2 linked regions of the Caenorhabditis elegans genome follow. The protein of the gene in region 2 purifies or fractionates together with the protein of the main gene of each other region. This does not show direct contact. Each region holds a gene or a part of one and is shown on either strand. Other genes may lie near its edges.

Region 1 (5,349 bases), on a different chromosome or scaffold from region 2:
CAACATTTCGAATATTGCCAATAATGTTTGATTTTGATGGTTAACCACAAAAGTTAACTGAAAGGTGAAAGTTAAAATGCTGATTAATATTACAATATATTTTTGTGCATTCTTGAATAAATTATGCTACAAAAAACATACCTTCCAGACATCAGATTTATTTGCGTAAGGAAAAGATGCACGAAAAGCTGCTGAAGCAATTTGATCTCGAGCTTCATACCCGAGAAGGCAGAAAAATAGTATGGTGATATAGTTTATAGTTTGCAAATTGGTCATATCTAACAAATTACAACAACATGTTCAAACTTTAAATGCATGGCAATGCAGGAACGCATTCTGTGCGATCAACCTATAGATTAAAGATTATTGGGATGAGTAATAAAGAGTGTGATGGGTAAACGTAATCAAAGCGTTGAAATTGTTTAACTTTAGAATCTGAAAATGAAATTATACAAATATCTTCAATGCGGCTATACTCTGAAAAAACAAATATAAAAAAATGCCCAATTGTTGTTCTAGTTCGACTATCGATTAAACTGTAATTCAAATTTTATTTATTTAAAAAGATCCTTATTTTTGGAAACTTTCCAATTTAAATTTACGTTTACTTCAGATTTGTTAGATTTTCCTTGACCCCTGTTGATAGAATGCTATTAGAGCACTCAACGAGCTTGAATGATCTTCTGTCTTCTTCAGTGTAAACCACGCGGTATCACTTCAACAGTTGCTCTTCATTTTTCTAAGTTTCTTTTTCCGAAGACAAGTTTTGTAGAGACTTTTCGAAAATTAAAGAACCAGTCTGCAGGATTTTTAAAGTATGCCTTATCAATTATTAAATAAATCTCAATGTCTAGAACTTCAATTTCAAGGCCATTTTATGATCATTTCATTGAATTCATCCTCTCATTTTTTGGAACTTTTTGTTCGTTCTGTGATCTAGGTATCAATACAAGAAAATTATACATCCTTTTAGATATAACTAAAATCAAGACCGCCCACCAAAGTGCGTTGATTGATAGATTGATAAGAAGAACTGGGAAAAGGAAAAAGAGAATTCCCACTAATAACTGTAAAGTGATAAATGACGAGGTTGTCCTTGAAATTTGATATTTTAATCTATCGATAATATACCTTTGGAGGTTCAGGAATCAAGAGTTTATCATGAAGAAATTAGTATTTATTATGCAAAAACCATATCTTACCAAAAAAGTTATCTACGTGTTAATTTGCTTATTCACGAACTTTGCTAATTAATTACAGAGATAAAACAGTATGTATTATGCTCTTTTTTAAAGTGAAAAGTTTTATAAAATATTTAAATTAAACCGAGGTTAAAGTATGTAGAACAGTTTTTGATTTACAAAACTCAATTGCTAAACTGTATAGATGAAACAAGTTACTTTGATCATTCTAACTGCATCGATTGTAGACAATTTTGTGAAGGCTGAACTACCGTAACCGTTTTTGGATATCTTCAAACGCTGAGACTTGGATCTAATAACAAACCTTTCCGCAGGTCCAAAGACGACTGCCTCACCTCCTAACTAAATCTGATTTTCGGTTGTTTTTTGGTTTTAGGGCAATGTGCTGGTTGTAAACTATATGGCACCATTTCTTTATTTTTACAACTTGGAACCTTTACATCTGCTGTCCAGCAGAAGGCCGGGGAGGTGGGCTCACGGGAAGAAGAGCTATGAAAAGACAACTGGTGTTGATGCATACACACCTCTGATGAGATACTTTCTCTCTTTTATTTTGTATATTGTTGTTGTTATTCTGTTCAATCAAAATTGAGAATATCTTGAAGAATATCTTGATTGAAAGCTCATTTTGTTGGATTAGCATTTTTATTAGTAAAATTAAAGTATATGAAACAATATGTATCCCGCAATAGCAATTTTATTCCTCAAAATGTTTCTGTAAAATATCACGCCTTCTTCCTAGTTTCCCACTGATCCGTTGTCTTGATCTCCGCCCACTCCCTATTCCACCGTCGCTTTTTGATATCCATTTATCGGTATAAATAAAACATTTTAGTTGATTCAAATTTAATTTTAATCAAATTTTTTCTGTAGAAATGTCACTTCTAATCAAAAATGGAACCATTGTCAATGATGATGCTATCTTCAAATCCGATGTTCTGGTCCTTGATGGAAGGATTGTGTGAGTCCAACTTTGAATCATGCATCTTAATGGAAAATTTGAATTTCAGGGAAATCGCTCCATCCATCCAACCAACTCCTGGTCTTGAAGTAGTTGATGCAACGGATCGTCTTGTTATTCCAGGTGGCATTGACCCACATACACATATGCAGCTACCATTCATGGGAGAAATTGCAAAGGATGATTTTCATAGGGGAACGGAAGCTGCTGTTGCTGGTGGTACAACTATGGTATTTGAAATTAAGAAATAAAAGTTTCCAACTTTTGGTTACAGATTATTGACTTTGTAATTCCAACAAAAGGCGAATCCCTCCTTGTTGCTTACGATCGTTGGAGAGGGTGGGCTGATCCAAAAGTCGTTTGTGACTATGGATTGTCGATGGCAATTACCAGTTGGGGGCCTGAAATTGCCAAAGAAATGGAAATTGTTACTGGAGCTGAATATGGTATACCAAGTTCTAGTTTTAGTAGTCCTAGTCTATATCAACTTTTAGGAATCAATTCCTTCAAGTTTTTCCTCGCGTACGCAGGTGTCTTTATGGTTCGTGACGAAGAATTCTATCAAGGAATGATTCAATGCGCAAAGTTACGTGCATTGGCTCGTGTTCATGCTGAAAACGGATCCGTCATTGCGGAACGATGTGAGCATCTTCTTTCTTCTGGTATTACTGGACCAGAAGGACACACTCAATCTCGCCCAGAAGAATTGGAAGCTGAAGCTACTTTCCGTGCCTGTACTATGGCTTCTCAGGTATTTCGGATTGTGAGATTTAAAATATTCAATGAGAAAATTTCAGGCAAACTGTCCATTGTACGTAGTTCACGTAATGTCAAAAGGAGCAGCTGCTGCAATTGCTCATCACAGAAAGAAGGGAGCTGTTGTGTTTGGAGAACCAATTGCTGCAGGACTAGCCACTGATGGAAGTCACTATTATAATGAAGATTGGCTTCATGCTGCTCGTTATGTCATGTCTCCTCCACTTTCTCGTGATCCATCAACACCTAGTGCATTGATGAAATTGTTGGCTGCGTAAGTATAGAATTCTTGGAAGTGTATCAGTGCCGTGCGGCTCTCGGCGCGAGCCGAGAGCCGGCATTTTGGAGCTTTTTCGGCTCTTGGCCGGAGCCAAGAGCCGAAAAAAATTTCCGACTCGGCGCGCGCCGAGAGCCGACTTTTTTCAAGAGCCGCACAGCACTGAAGTGTATATTTACTACCTCCAAATTAGCCAAAAATGCGATTTACACCAAAAAGGAAAACGTTTTTATCAAAAAAATTCAACTCAAAATAGCCTTTAAAAAACCGTAAATTGGGCGGCACATACTCTAGAACTTGATGGGTAAAAAACTTACGGAAGAAACAGCGCGGATTTTCCGCAGGCACAGATTCAGAGTAAGTCCAGCCCAACTGTCAGATTGCTCGGAATTTTTAATTATATTATTGTAATTTCACGATATTTTGACTTGCCCTTCCAAAGACACACGAATGTATTACGATGGGTCTAGGTGCGCAAAAAAGTTTGTGGTAGTCTTTTATTGTCCATTTTCTACAAAATTCGCTAAAACTAAAATCGTTTTTAGCTAAAAATGAAGTAATCCCGTGTACCTTCAAAGAAGAGGTCGAAATCTCGTGAAATTACGATAACTCAAACTTTCCTAGCATATTCGGTGGAAATTAGAATAAAATTTTCAAAAGAGACAGTTCACCTTTAAATTTTCAATTAAAACCCCCAACATTTTGAGACTAAACAATTTTCAGTGGAGAATTGCATCTCACTGCCACCGATAATTGTACATTTGATTGTCAACAAAAGTCTCTTGGTAAAGATGATTTCACAAAAATTCCGAATGGAGTAAACGGAGTTGAAGACAGAATGTCAGTTGTTTGGGATAAAGGAGTTCATGCTGGAATCATTGATCCTATGAGATTTGTGGCAGTCACTTCTACAATGGCTGCTAAGATCTTCAATTGTTACCCACAGAAGGGAAGAATCGCAGTTGGCTCCGACGCGGATATTGTGATTTGGAATGCGAATGCAACTAGAACTATTTCAAAAGATACACATCATCATGTGAGTTTTAGGTTTTAGTAAATTCAATTTTAATGCAAAAAATTCAAGGCGATTGACTTCAATATTTTCGAAGGAATGCAAGTACACGGAGTTCCAGAAATCACAATTTCCCGAGGACGTACTGTTTGGGCAAATGGTCAACTGAAAACTGTTCAAGGTTCAGGACAATTCATTCCTTTGGCTCCAGACTCTCAAATCGTCTTCTCAGCTGTTGACAATCGTAAGAAGGCTATGGAACCTGTGAAAATAGACCGAATTCCATATGAGCCATCGGCACTGCAGACACCTGATGCCAATGCGAACATCGTTGTGAAAGCTCCAGTCAGGGCAGCAATTCCTCCAGGAGGAGCTAGCAGCATTCAGTTTTAAATCTACTTGTAAATAATTGTTTTTTTTTTATTTTTAAAAATTCAATAAAAAAATCACTTCCAAAAAGTAACAATGCATCAAAAATTGAAATTATAACAAAAACATAACAAATCAAGCAACAATGATATTCAGATTAATTTTTCTTTCCTGCTTTTCTTTTCAGGCCGCCGACCATTCTCTTCTTTCCGACTCCTTTAGCTTTCAAAAGTGGGCGCCCTTTCTTCACTTTAGGAACTGCTGTTTTCTTTCCATTTCCTTTTTTAACTTCAGCGATTTCGTCATCTGGAACATCATCTCCGTTCTCCTGCCGTGCAGCTTCGGCAGCCTCACGAGCTCGCTTTTTGATTTGGCTTTAAAAAATTTTTATTTTTAAAGTTTTTACATTTCACGATAAATCTAACAATAAATTCGTCAGCTTAATACGCCTATAAGTGTACCTTTTAACTTTTCTGGACGACTTTCTCTCTTGCTTGAAGCTGTTGGCCAACACAATGGCCTTCTTCTCGGCTTCTTCATAATCATGTCTTGTCAACCTCTCCTTTGGAACTGGGGTCTCGAAATGTAATGGATCTTGTCCACGAGAACTCTTATCGAACTTCTTAACAAGATCATAGATCTTCTTTCTTCTCTTAGCATTTAAATGTTCTTGCTTTCCCACTTCAAATAGCAACGCTCCGATTTCCTTGTAACTGAATTCAATTCCACCTTGATCCATCTCTTCTCCTTCTTCAACAGCGGTGATCAAATC
Region 2 (6,463 bases):
CACTTTCACATTAAAAAAAAATTGGCGGGAATTTCAAGTTTTAGGTTGTTCCAAATTTTTTGGCGGTGAATTAATATTCTATTTTTCGATTAACTTAATTTCACAACAAAAAAAAATTGGAGAAAGTTATATCTTTAACTTTTCTACAAAATTCAGCGCTAAATTTAAAATTTTGATTTTTAAAAAATAAAGTTTCCGGAAATTAAAATATTCCTAACTAGCCTAAAGCCTAAAGCCTAAAGCCTAAAGCCTAAAACCTAAAGTTTAAGACAGGGCTAAAGTTTCATGTAAAAAATGGGTTGAAAATTAACATCTTTAATCTAGATTTCTTGTTGTAAAAAGTGTTCATTATATTTTCTGGCACCGCAAATTCCAAATAATTTTTGACCTTCCACTTCTCTTGTCAAACAACTTCAACCACATGTGTTCTGACTCCTTATCACCAAGATCATTGATTAGTGCACATATACATCTCACATCATAGATACTTTTCTTTTTTGGATCAAAGAAGCTTCAGCCCCGCCACTTCACAGATCATATGGTTACAACAAAGAGATAAAGAGATAAGTCAGGAGTCCGCAGAGAAACTAAGAACCAAACACGCGATATTCGGGTTGTCCACCGTCGGCTGTTTTTGTTGCAGTGGTGAATTGGGGATGTGTGTAAGAAAAAAATTATTTGGAAAAAGACCAACATCGTGGCGCGGTGAAGGTGCTTTGGTGTCTTCTTTTTGAATAGTGCAATTATTTGAAAAATAAGACCAAAGTATTGTTTTCAAACAGGTTATGCAATAGTTTATAGTTAAAAGAAAACCTGAATTTGACAGATATTTCAAAACTGGCGGGGATAGCCGGTCTTAGTGGCCGCTAGCAACGAGTTCAAGCCCTGACACCCTCTAGGATCACCCAGTCTTAAATGGAGCAATCTGAATTCTCCGTGGCTCGAACCTAAATCCCAGAGAGAGCTCCACCAGGAATGTTGTACAGAAATTCAGCGATGCATAAGACTTGAAGAACGGGTTTTATTTGACTTGAATTTAAAATAAAATATAGGTTTTCAGTTAAGTTTTGTAGCCTTTTTGGGAAATTCTGAACATATTTTAAAACTTTAAAACTCCCCGCTACTCCAAAAAAATATCCTATCAATGTTGTTTTCTTACGAAAAATAACTGATTCCAGTGGGATTTTGTTTGTTTGCCCTTTCATTATATGTAATTGTTTACTCAACTTTTTCCTGATTATTTAGTATTATTTAACATAAATAGTCTGGCAATATGAAGAAGTAAGCTTTACAAATTTGAAAAACCAAAATTTACCATTTTGTAAAATTTTTCAAGTCACGGTTACAGCCAAATAATTAAGTGAAAAATTACAAAAAAATTATTATGTACATTAAAACTGCAAATTGGGTGCAATTCTAGACTAATAAAAAATATATAAATGCCCTAAAAATTTCATATCTTAATTTTTTCTGGTTGATTTATTTTGACTTTCATTTTTTGTAATTTAAAATAGACTTACAATTTTGTAATTCTGATAGAAAAACCAAGTTTTTTCTAAAATATTAACAGTTAGCACCCAGCATTTCAAATTTCAAAAAAACTGCATTATTGACAAACATCTCCCATATACCTAAACATTTTCAAAAAGCGTACTTCATCAACGATCAACCATCATATCAAGCTGCCAAAAAGACACACAAAAAAAGCGTAAACAAAATAATTGACTGTTCTCTCTGCACCTCTGCGTCTCTTTCTATCTATTCATCAATTGTCTCTCTCTCCTAATGATATCACACACTGCCTCGACTCCGCCCCCTATAGTTTCGGACCCTTATCGCTCTGCGTCTCGTCGGGCAGAGTATAAAAGCCGGGTCCCGGGAGGTGTGCCGACTTTAGTTCCCTCACAAGAACTAAGCTTATTATACAAAGACACACACAATGAGTTCTGCGGCTAAAAATTTTTATCAGGTATGTTGGTTTATTTTTTTATAATTTGAAATTTAATATATGAAATTTTTAAAATTTAAATTATTTCAGGTAGTCAAATCGGCTCCAAAAGGCCGCTTCAAGGGCATCAAACGTGACTATACCGTCGAAGATGTGCTCAAACTCCGAGGCTCCATCGACATTGACTACACCCTTGCCACACGTGGAGCCAACAAACTCTGGCAACTATTGCACACTGAGCCATTTGTGCCGGCTCTCGGAGCCCAGACTGGAAACCAAGCAGTTCAGATGGTCAGAGCCGGATTGAAGGCTATCTACTTGTCCGGATGGCAGGTGGCTGCCGACGCAAACTCCGCTGGAGACATGTACCCCGATCAGTCTTTATATCCAGCAAACTCTGGCCCGGAATTGGCGAAGAGAATCAACAGATCTTTAAGAAGAGCAGACCAGATTGAAGCCTGTGAAGCCGAGGACTACCTCGCCCAACGTGATTGGTACGCGCCAATCGTTGCCGATGCAGAAGCCGGATTCGGTGGAGCCCTGAATTGCTTCGAGTTGATGAAGGTAGGCATGCAACACTAACAGTTGCTCTTCACTGACCACTGGACACTTTTGGGGGTGAGAGAGATAAGAGTGGCAGTTGGCATTGCCGGTGTGTAGCTTTGTTGTGTAAAAGTGTATAGTTTCAAATGATTTCAACGCGGGCGTCTAAAGGAAACGGGACGGGGAGTGTGTAGGGAACAAAGAATGTCCAGTGGTCCTGGTCCTTTGACCTATTCAGTTTTCCAAAATCGGTACATACGAAGTTCCATGTGTTCCTTTCTTCTCTTTTTATCACCCCCATTTCATCGCAGCGCTCACTTCTCGGTCAACAAACATCTTTCTTCTCTATTTTTCTCCACCCAACAATGATTAGAATGATTAGATAACGCTATCAAAAACAACAAAAATGATCGTTGGTTGTTTTAGGCCTATATCGAAGCCGGTGCGGCAGGAGTTCACTACGAAGATCAGCTTGGATCGGAGAAAAAATGTGGTCATATGGGAGGAAAAGTCTTGATCCCAACCGCCCAACACATTCGTCACTTGAATGCGTCTCGTTTGGCTGCTGATGTCTGCGGAGTTCCTACAATCATTGTCGCAAGAACCGACGCAGAGTCCTCTAGACTTTTGACATCTGACATTGATCCAAGAGATCATCCATACATTGACTACGAGGCTGGAAGAACGATTGAAGGATTCTACAGACTCAAGGATTCCACTGCAATTCAGTATTGTATCGATCGTGCCATCCAATATGCTCCATACACCGATCTCATCTGGATGGAGACCTCTCACCCAACGATCGCCGACGCCCGTGAATTCGCTGAAGGTGTCCACAAGCAGTACCCAGACAAGATGTTCGCCTACAACTGCTCTCCATCCTTCAACTGGAAGAAGCATCTGTCCCCATCGCAGATGGAGAAGTTCCAGAAGGAGTTGGGAGCTATGGGATTCAAATATCAGTTTATCACGCTTGCCGGATACCATGCCAACAGTTATAGCATGTTTGACTTGGCCAGAAACTACAAGGAGAAGGGTATGCTCGCCTATTCCGGGCTCCAGGAAGGAGAGTTTGCTGCTGAGAAGCATGGATATACGGCAGTAAAGCATCAGAGAGAAGTGGGAACCGGATACTTCGACGCTGTCAGTCGTGCGGTTACCGGAGGACTCTCTTCGACTACTGCCTTGTCAGGATCCACTGAAGAAGCTCAATTCCAGACTGCTGTTGCTTCGCAGGATGAGGAAATCCTTTCGGTACGTTTTATTCAGACCTGCATATTAAGGCAAGAATTAGAAGAAAAAATAACTAAACAAAATTTCAGCTCACCGCCCAAAACGTTGCTGGAGACGAGAAGATCCTCACACCAGATGCTCTTCGCTTCCTCCACGACCTCAACACCGAATTCAACCCTCGCCGTTTGAGACTTCTCTCCAAGCGCAACCAAGTTCAGGCTGATATCAACAACTCCCTCTGGTTCCCAGATTTCAACAAGGAGACCGAGGTGCTCCGTAGTGATCAAGGATGGAAGGGAGCCGAGATTCCAAGGGATTTGCAAGATCGTAGAGTTGAGATCACTGGACCAACCGATCGTAAGATGGTTATTAATGCTATGAACTCTGGAGCCAATGTATTTATGGCTGACTTCGAAGATTCCAACTCCCCAACATGGAGAAACCAGCTTGAAGGACAGATCAACTTATATGATGCTGTAAGAAATAACATCTCCTACACCCACCCAACTACTAAGAAGGAGTACACACTGAATGAGAAACACGCCGTTCTGAAGGTCCGTCCACGTGGATGGCACCTTCCAGAGAAGCATGTCCTCATCCACAACCAGCCAACTTCAGGATCTCTCTTTGATTTCGGACTCTTCGTTTTCCACAATGCCAAGGCCCTCATCGCCCAGGGCTCCGGTCCATATTTCTATCTTCCAAAGCTTCAAAGCGCCGAGGAGGCTCAACTCTGGGCTGACGTTTTCAAGTACACCGAGGACAAGCTAGGCCTCGCCCGTGGAACCATCAAGTGTACCGTGCTCATTGAGCATTTGCTCGCCAGCTTCCAACTCCACGAGATCATCCATGCCCTCAAGGACAACATTGTCGGACTCAACTGCGGACGTTGGGATTACATCTTCTCCTACATCAAGACGTTCCAGAACCATCGCAAGTTCCTTCTCCCAGACCGATTCCAAATTGGAATGACCGCTCCATTCATGAGAAACTACTCCTTGGAAGTCATCAAGGCCTGCCATCTCCGTGGTATCCATGCCATGGGAGGTATGGCTGCCCAGATTCCAATCAAGCACGACCAGGTCGCCAATGACAAGGCATTTGCCCTAGTCAGAGCTGACAAGGAACGAGAGGCCACTGACGGACACGATGGAACATGGGTTGCTCATCCAGGATTGGTGCCATTGGCTAAGAGAGTTTTCGATCAAATGATGCCAAAGCCAAACCAGATCAGCAAGAATCTCACCCGCGCCAATTGCACCAAGGAAGACCTCACTGTGATCCCAGAGGGAACCCGCACTGAAGCTGGATTCCGCCATAATATCTCTGTAACTCTTGGTGAGCCTTAAAAAATATTTTTGAACATTTTTGAAATTGGAATTAATTTCAGGATACCTCGACTCTTGGCTCAGAGGAACCGGATGCGTGCCACTCTACAACTTGATGGAGGACGCTGCCACCGCCGAAATCTCGCGTGCTCAGCTCTGGCAATGGCTCCATCATGATGCTAAGCTTGAGGACGGTCGCACTATTGACGCCGGACTTGTCAAGCAAACGATTGCCGCCGAGACCGAGCGTCGTCTCATCCGAGCCGGATCAGTTGTCAACCGAATCCCAGAGGCTGCCGACTTGCTCGAGAAGTTTGTCACCGAGGAGAAGATGAGCGACTTCTTGACCACCGACGCTTACGACAGGCTTGTCTCTGAAGGATATTAGGAAATTTTTTTAAATTTGAATTACTTATTTGTATACTTCTCTCCATGATTTTCGTTGCACCTACTGGTTTTCTTGTACATTCTGCCGTTAATTATAAATCTCTTCAGTAAAATTTTGTCATGTCCGTGTTGTGTTCAAAAAGTCCACGAATTCCAGACTTTCCCACGATTTGAGACTTTACCTCATATCCGTGTCACTTCATTTTTTCACACAAAAAAAGCACGTAGTGAATCACTTGAAAAAAAAATCTTGAATTTTCTCTGGTTCTCTGGTCTATGCGTAAGTCTCAAAAGTTTGAGATAAAAAGGTGACATCTATGAAGCGTGAAAATTGAAGCTGCAGAGTCATAAAGTACGAAGCGATGTTTTGTTACATAAGCTACATATGTTTTCTATCTAAAACTTATGTTTCATTATTCAACAATCAAATTGTTTCAACTGTTTGTGTTCGTGTTCCGCTGCAAACACATATAGCAAACTGTAAATTGCAATATAGATGCTCTACAGGTGGCCTGCTGCCTCCACACACCTATCGACTCAAATTAGTACATCTGCGCAACGACTCGCCATTCAAATAGTCGATAATCTTACGTCAGTTGTCCATTCCCTCTCATTTCTTATTTAGCACAAATGAATATTCTCCGACTACCCACAAAAGCACTTCGCTGCACACTTCAACACTGGCCGCTTCTAGAAATGTAAGTTATTTAACTAAAAACAAAACCAAATGTGAACAATTTCAGATTAACATTTTCGTTGTTTTCAAAAAAGACGAAAAATCTTTCTAAATCTCTGCATCGAAGCGCCTTATCGATTTCTGTGAATGTTGAAGAGTTGATTGAACTCAAAATTCAAATCGCTCGGCGTGATACAATCAACTTCATCTTTTACACAAGCAGATATAGAGCCAATCCCTACTATGACCCCAATGCGGGAGTTGTGTTAATTGATAATCCAGATGAATATATAGGAATCGTGGATACAACTAAAAACAGTCGGATTTGGATGCACTTTCCGAATATGG

The links. The genes of interacting proteins can lie anywhere in the genome.
Region 1: the proteins of icl-1 (region 2) and dhp-2 fractionate together in Caenorhabditis elegans (co-fractionation; one large-scale study listed by BioGRID). This does not show direct contact.

What each region holds. Positions count from the first base shown.
Region 1 is NC_003282.8:9,976,109-9,981,457, forward strand, and holds dhp-2 (Dihydropyrimidinase 2), read left to right. Parts: upstream 1-2,013; 5' UTR 2,014-2,077; coding exon 2,078-2,163; intron 2,164-2,212; coding exon 2,213-2,393; intron 2,394-2,437; coding exon 2,438-2,609; intron 2,610-2,657; coding exon 2,658-2,914; intron 2,915-2,960; coding exon 2,961-3,193; intron 3,194-3,919; coding exon 3,920-4,232; intron 4,233-4,280; coding exon 4,281-4,601; 3' UTR 4,602-4,667; downstream 4,668-5,349. Other genes in the region: C47E12.14 (Salivary lipocalin), read right to left, coding at 1-57, 142-276; rrp-1 (Ribosomal RNA processing protein 1 homolog), read right to left, coding at 4,735-4,951, 5,039-5,349.
Region 2 is NC_003283.11:723,434-729,896, reverse strand, and holds icl-1 (Malate synthase), read left to right. Parts: upstream 1-1,892; 5' UTR 1,893-1,939; coding exon 1,940-1,969; intron 1,970-2,038; coding exon 2,039-2,512; intron 2,513-2,917; coding exon 2,918-3,745; intron 3,746-3,813; coding exon 3,814-5,062; coding exon of another isoform or gene 5,063-5,073; exon of another isoform or gene 5,074-5,114; coding exon 5,115-5,440; 3' UTR 5,441-5,559; downstream 5,560-6,463. Other genes in the region: fbxb-72 (F-box domain-containing protein), read left to right, coding at 6,070-6,137, 6,183-6,463.